2 linked regions of the Arabidopsis thaliana genome follow. The protein of the gene in region 1 purifies or fractionates together with the protein of each later gene. This does not show direct contact. Each region holds a gene or a part of one and is shown on either strand. Other genes may lie near its edges.

Region 1 (3,756 bases):
TATTCCAAATGTCTTAGATTCCAGCTTTCTTGGTTATCTTCAATGACCACTTTGGTGATTGCCACTTGGTTGTAGCACAAGCATGTGCTGCCTCACTTAGATAATGTGATTAGGCCTAGTTTAGATTGTACCAAAAACTTTAATTAATGATGTATTAGACACTAAGGCAAATCTAGTAGACACTCAAGTAGATGAATTCTTCATTCTCTTAATTAAAAGACTAACATAGAATATAAAACAAAAAGACCAAACACATGTTGCTAAAAGATCAAATTAAAGAACATGATAAGCTTGACAAGACAATTGATGAAGGCTTGGTCGATTAAATTACACGTGTAACCAAATAAAAATAAACTACGATGCTGACAAATGTAACTAGTACATAACTCTATTGTATCCGTGTATTTTTTTGGGATTTTTTTTCAGAGTTTTTGGAAGCTACAAATGATCAAATACAAACTCTAGATGCTCTTACATCGGAGGTTAAGAGCGACTTTACAATGTCATCAACTACACCTTTAGTGTAGTGGAAGAAGTGGCCACTTCTCGGAACCTCATGATAGTGAACCCATGGAAGCTGATGAGCAAGGTAACGCTGCAGCTTCGCAGGTACTAACATGTCCTCATCTCCTTGCCACAAATGCACAGAGCCTTCCTTATTCAAAAACGGATTCTCGAGGTCTAAAGGACCAAATTCCCAGTTCCCAAAACCAACGATCATGTCACGGTTAATACTCTCATGTATTCCTTGCTGCCTTACCTCTGCCCAATGTGGTTTCCTCGAAGAACCAAGCTTCGAAATGATATCTTTATCCGGCTGTGCCAAGAGACTGTGATCTCGGTTTGCAATACTCGAACCAGGGAACCATTTTTGTGTGTTCCACCAATAGATAAGCCAAGGAGTATAGTGAGCAACACGAACTGCCAATTGATCTCTCTTTTGTTGAAAGTTAAAACCTTCAGTGGAAACGTTCAAAGGTAAGTTCTTCCAATAATAGTTAACCACTGGAGCAACTAGTGTTACTCCGGCTAACCTATGAGGAATGTATTTAAGACATCCCCATGCTGCTTGTCCTCCCATCGAGTACCCGAGCACATAAAATTTCGATCCTAGACTCAACTGATCAGCTAGCTCTTCAATATCCGAAACCAAGCTTCGCGGTGTACGACTTGGATGCGGATCACTCTCACAATAGCCCGGTCTGTCGAATGAAACCATATATACACCTAGTTCCTCTACTAAATCCTATAAAATGTATTGACACACTGTTAGAGGTCCCAATAAAAAACCGAAAACGTCACTCTCAAATAACTTTCTCACTAAACTTCTCTATACTACAAGGATTTTTAACAACACTACTTGCTACAAATTAACATGCCACTAACTAAATAAATGATTAAAACATAGTGATCAAAGTATTATTACATAACAACTATCTATCAAATCAACGATAGAAGCATATAGACATGCATAATCTTGATTGTGTAAAACTTACCGGAGAAAGCAGAGTGGCGAAAACGGCATCGTGTCTACAACAATCGGATCCATGGATGAAGACGATTTTGCGGTTAGCTTTCTCTCTTGGAAGTCCATGCTCTTTGTAAGCCAAATACCTCCCATCTTGAAGCTTTATCCGCGGCGCTGTGATCGGTGGACCACCGGAGGAGCCACATAGCTTCGGCGGAGGTGGTTTCAACTTGGACTGATAAGTAAACGCCACGATTATCCCAACAATGACAATCACAACAGAAGGAAAAAGAAATTTTTTTCGAGGCCATGGCTTTAATGAGCTGTTCCTTGATGAATCTCTCGTCATTTAAAAGAATGGGAAGTTGATCGGAGAGGCACGGAGGTCAACGGCGACGATTCTTGAAAAGAGAGCCAACTGTTCAAGAACTACAACATAGAGATCGTTTTTTTGTTGTTGTTTTGAGATAAAAATAGAGAAGCCCATTTTTATATGTTATTCATTATAGTAATGGCCCAAGATGCTTAATATACTAATGCCCCAATAGTGTTAAGGCCCATAAGCCCATATTAGGGCTTCTTCTTCGTTTTTCTCCCTCGAGTAGCAGCAGCAGCCTTTGGATATTCGGCGGAATCGAAAATGGTCAAGGGACGCCAAGGAGAACGAGTCAGGTCTTTCTTCTTCTATTTCTCTTTTCGTTCTTCTTCAAGTTTGATCTATATCACCAAGATGGTTTTCTATCGGTGTATCATTTGAGATTTGCTCTGTTTTCCTCACTTCTGAAACTGTTTTGCTACTATTGTTATTGTCTAGATTTGAGCTGATTCTTCATGGTTTAGTAATCTTGTAATCATCGATAATGCGAAAGTCTGATTCTTTTTATGTTATCTAATTTTGCAGACTCTACGTGAGGGGAACCATCCTCGGATACAAAAGGTGACCCATTTCTTTCATCGCTTTCGTTTTCCATTTTACACTGCTTATAGCTTATGATTGGACGCCAATAAGATTCCATGTAATGAACGTTGATTGGTATTTATGTAAGCCAATTTGACAGAAACGAGTCCTATAACCAAGCTTCTCGTCCACTTATGATCAGATTATGTGTCTGATGCTTTCACTAAATGGGAACATTTTGACTCTTGATTAGTTAGTTGTCTACATTTCTTAGGACACTTATCTGGCATTTTATTTTTGAGCTGCTTTGTATTTCTATTAATCAACACTGTTGTTAACTGAGTTCTGCTTTAATAACCTTGTCATGCTGAAAACCGAGACCTTACTGTTTGATACTTCCTCTGGTCTGACATTTACTATGGTGTGCAGGTCGAAGTCCAACCAGTATCCAAACACGTCCCTCGTCCAGATCGAAGGAGTTAACACTCAGGAGGAGGTAAACTGGTACAAGGGAAAGAGGATGGCTTACATCTACAAGGCTAAGACAAAGAAGAACGGTAGCCACTACCGCTGTATCTGGGGAAAGGTTACCAGGCCTCACGGTAACAGCGGTGTTGTCCGTGCCAAATTCACATCCAACCTTCCTCCCAAGTCCATGGTACTTAAACAGATTCTATAATCATCTTCTCTGTTTAGAAGTGAAATCTTTTGCTTGGGTTTTTAACAAGATATTATTCCTTATGTTCTTGCAGGGAAGCAGAGTGAGAGTCTTCATGTATCCGAGTAACATATGAAGCAATGCAAAAATGGCTTAAACTTATAATTTAGCCGCCTTGGTTTTGTTCACTAGTTTGTTATTTTGTATTTTGATATTGAAAGCATTTCCTTTCTTTGTTTGAAGTGTTTGGAGATTCTCTAAATTGACTTTGATCATGGATCCGGTTTTTCATCCCAAATTAGACTCCCTTTTCCCCTTTTATAACGAATTAAAACAGACGAATGGTAACATATTTTCTCAAATCACTATTACAACTTTATAATTAGTTCTTAGAAACACTTAAATTCTCAGAATCATCCATGGCATATGTTAATTGTTGAAGTCTGAAAATCGAAAATCACTCAAAATAATCAAAAAACAAGAGCTGATTGAAGTTGTAAACTGAAACATTTGAAACTCGATTTGTGATATCGGCCCTTAGGCCCATTAGACCTTTATTGGGCTTACCTAGGCTCAACTTTAGAATTTTCAATCAGAATTTTGTTCTCATGTAAACAAAAAAGTACCAACAAACCTAAGATTCGTTGAGAAGAGAGACCAGACAAGAACTCTGTGTCGACTGCCGTACTCTCGGAGTCGGAGCTTCGGTCCCGTTAAGACAGTAACAGAGAA
Region 2 (3,669 bases), about 23 Mb from region 1:
CAGCTAAATCGGCTTATATTGTTAGCTTTAGACCTCGAATCAAACGATGCTTTTGCTCTGGATCTGGTTTTGATTGTCCAACTAACTTGAATTCTTAAAATTTGTTAACATTCAGTGACTCATAAATCATTAATTTTGCTCGGATTCAATGATTTATACGCAAGTTCGAATTTTGATCCAGTGTTTTTAAGGGCACAGTCTTGACTTCTTCACTTGATTTTGTTTGCATACTATTTGTGTATTAATGACTCTTAGACATTCTCTAATTGCTGAAATGTTGATTTGGTATCAATGCAGACTGACTTAGCTAACATTCAGAAGAAGAAAGATGAGGAAAAGGTGAGTTCCCACTTTGATGCTCTGACTTGTTTTCTCTTTTTGTTCATATGAAGTTTTGTGATTGGAAAAATGCATCTAGTTAAACTTATATGTTTGGGCTCCTCTTTCAATGGAAAGCTATAAAATACGAATCAAAGATTGTATCTTCACAAGAGAGCTTCTGTTTAGATACATAGGTTTGTAAAGGTTTTGTAAAGGTTGTGCATTAATATGTTCCACTTTGTCAGTTTGGTCTACTAATCAAGCTGACTCTAATTATGACTTTATAGCTGGTGACTACAACTAGATGGGTCATTTCTATTAATTATTTGTTAGTTTAGGGGTATTCATTACAGATTCTTTTGAGATGATATGGACTAGTTTCTTCTTACTTTGATGAAATAGTGACCATTTGCCCATGTTAGGATGTTTAGTCTACTTTTTTTCCACCCAATTGTGTGAAAGACTCATTAGCCTTTCTTTCGCATGAGAAGTACAGTGATCATTTGTTACCGAAAGCCTGACCTGTTTTGTTTTGAATGAAAATGATAAAACAGGCCCTTAAAGAGCTTAGAGCCAAGGCATCGCAGAAGGGATCCTTTGGAGGTTCTGGACTTAAGAAGAGTGGCAAGAAATGATCCGTTTTATCCATGAAGTGTGTTTTAAAATGCAAATTTATCAAGTGAAAAAAACAGATAATCCTGTGTTGATGTAACTTTTTATCATAATTCGAGAAGAGTAACTTCGCTTCTCCATACATATGTTTGCTTTCTCCATTTTTTCATGAAAAAGAAAAGTGGTATCTACCCTAAAATCATTTTGTCAAGAATCGAGTAGTAGGGTGTCACATCTCTATCTTCAGATATAGTATTATAAACTGTAAGTTGTCATAACTTGAAGTGGAAAATATGTTGCATTGATAGTAGTTGAGAATAGGAGCGTAACTTGACTCTACAAGATGAGGTAGAAACTGAGGGTGGTGACAGGTGATTTTACCAAAGCGGTGTGTGTAATGGTTAACACTGTTCTTAAGAAGTGCATACTCTATAGATGAAAGAACTACAGATAGCCCGTGAAAGCAAAGCTGATCCAGAGGAACTTTAAAGCCTGAAGGAGCCTGCCTTTCTCCTTGAACCGTTGATCTTAGCAGAGGTACGAGGATCAGAGAACTCGTAATACATGTCTGTGAAGAAATTGTCAACAATGTCAAGATACACAGGACTTCTGATGCTTGAATAGCATCGAAGCGCTTCCCTTACATCCAATGCGTGATCCACGTCTCTCAGATCCACCATATTGAGATCTTTCATCTTTTGCGCCAACGCGTCACCTCTTTTCTTTGCATCCTCGAATGGCTCAGCGACTTTCTTCGGTTTCTTTTTATGTTGGTTGTTGAGACTCTTCTGGTGTGTTGTATCTGCCACAGCCGTGTCACAACAGATAACGGTGTAGCTTTCTTTGGTTTGGGTTTGGGAATCTTCTGGACAGCGGCGGCTGCAGGAGTAAGGGCTCAAGAGAGGAGTGTCGTTAGGTAAGTTTTTGTAATCACTAGAGCAGATAGTGGACTTGATGCTCCCAAGAGTCTTCTTTAAGAAACGACCAACTCTCTGAATTGATTTTGATGTAGGTTTCATCATCTTTCTTGCTGCTCATTTTTTTGAGAAGATAACCATATTTATGTCACTAGGGATCTCAAAAGGAAACCTAACATTGATTTAGTGGCATGTAGTAGTTGAAGAAGCAAGCTGATAGTGTCAGACTTTAAGAAGGTGTCATCTTGTTGATTGTGTTGTCCACTTTTATAGGTAAGCAATCGTCATCACATTGATAAGCAGTGTTCAAAATTGGTCCCCTACTTATCATTGCCACCACCACTCACTACTCATATTATATATACTGTATGCCAGTTGACTCGAGGTAATATCAGAACCAGGCCCATGAAGCCCATTAAGAAGCCCATATTTTTGGCGGTAACCAATGAAGATCCATTTTGGGTAGGAAAAACCCTAAAGGACGCTACACAGTCGTCTTCTCGGAGCCGCAAAGATTTCTGTAGAGCAAACTTTGATCATCCCCTGCATCTGCGGCAATGGTAATCTATTGGCATTTTTTTTCCATGTAAGCTCATGTGTGACTTATGTGTAACCGGTGCTTTGGAAATGACAGGGTAAAGGAACAGGGAGCTTTGGTAAGAGGAGGAACAAGTCACACACGCTCTGTGTGAGATGTGGTCGCCGGAGCTTTCACATCCAGAAGAGTCGTTGCTCGGCATGTGCTTATCCAGCTGCCAGAAAGAGGACATGTATGTACTCTCTCTCTATTTCTGTCTCTGTCTTGGAATTTTGGGTCTGATCATGGAGAATTGGAGATATATGAAAGAGTCCTGGAATTTATGATTTTGTGTGCAGATAACTGGAGTGTGAAGGCAATAAGAAGAAAGACAACAGGAACTGGTAGGATGAGGTATCTCCGTAATGTCCCTCGAAGGTTCAAGACTTGCTTTAGAGAAGGTAAAGCTACATTGCACCCTTTGCTTCACTTAAATATTTGATATAATCTAAGACTTGCTCAATCTGATCGATGGAATTCTGTGAATCAGGTACGCAAGCCACCCCAAGAAACAAAGCTGCAGCTTCGTCTTCCTAGGCATTGTTCAGTTTGCGTTTTGCCATCTCTTTCTTGCTATGTAGCTTTTTTTTTTAATTCGTTTGTTTATCTTTTTTGCTCTTGTACTTCCTTTACTGTGCAATCCTATTTCTGATAGTGTGATCACTCATCAATGAAATGCATCCGTGCTATTACTGTTTAAAGAATTCTAGCAAAACTCCACGTAATATGGAAGATGATTACAATGAAAATCCAAGTATCAGTTCGGTGGTGTATATTGACCAAAGAGGTGTTTTTCGTAGTGCAATTTTTTGAAAGCTTGCTCCATTTCCGGAAACGCTGATAGTAGCAACAACTCCAAAATGTCAAACGCCAATTGCTTCAAACACACTGATGACTGAAACAAGAATAATTTTAACAATGAAATCATCAAATGCATGTAAGCATCGCACAAACCTGAAATCAAGTGGAATGTTTACCTGAAGGAAAAAGTAAAGATCTTCTGCACATTGTTCATACTCCTTTTGTCCTATAAGACTCACTATAGTAGCTGGGGCTTTTTCTGTGAGTTGAGGGTTTATTTCAAACATTTATGTTAGTTCAATTAAGCTTCGCAATCATTGATGCAAAAAAAAAAAATCAGATAACAGGACGCTCATTACCGATCATCAGCTCATGAACAAACTTTGCTCGTCTCTCTGCTTCTTGTTTCTGCTCCTCTTCAGAAATGCTGGATTGTTGCTG

Evidence for each region. Proteins that work in one complex are often made in the same cells at the same time.
Region 2: the proteins of AT1G74270 (region 1) and AT1G15250 fractionate together in Arabidopsis thaliana (co-fractionation; one large-scale study listed by BioGRID). This does not show direct contact.

The regions. Positions count from the first base shown.
Region 1 is NC_003070.9:27,927,819-27,931,574, reverse strand, and holds AT1G74270 (Ribosomal protein L35Ae family protein), read left to right. Parts: upstream 1-2,037; 5' UTR 2,038-2,108; coding exon 2,109-2,140; intron 2,141-2,369; coding exon 2,370-2,405; intron 2,406-2,795; coding exon 2,796-3,024; intron 3,025-3,118; coding exon 3,119-3,160; 3' UTR 3,161-3,404; downstream 3,405-3,756. Other genes in the region: AT1G74280 (alpha/beta-Hydrolases superfamily protein), read right to left, coding at 449-1,246, 1,497-1,817.
Region 2 is NC_003070.9:5,248,120-5,251,788, reverse strand, and holds AT1G15250 (Zinc-binding ribosomal protein family protein), read left to right. Parts: upstream 1-2,112; 5' UTR 2,113-2,123; intron 2,124-2,225; 5' UTR 2,226-2,407; coding exon 2,408-2,410; intron 2,411-2,484; coding exon 2,485-2,620; intron 2,621-2,726; coding exon 2,727-2,828; intron 2,829-2,917; coding exon 2,918-2,964; 3' UTR 2,965-3,125; downstream 3,126-3,669. Other genes in the region: AT1G15270 (Translation machinery associated TMA7), read left to right, coding at 298-339, 876-956; AT1G15260 (LOW protein: ATP-dependent RNA helicase-like protein), read right to left, coding at 1,419-1,955; AT1G15240 (phox (PX) domain-containing protein), read right to left, coding at 3,185-3,322, 3,405-3,487, 3,588-3,669. UniProt on the Arabidopsis thaliana protein: Binds to the 23S rRNA.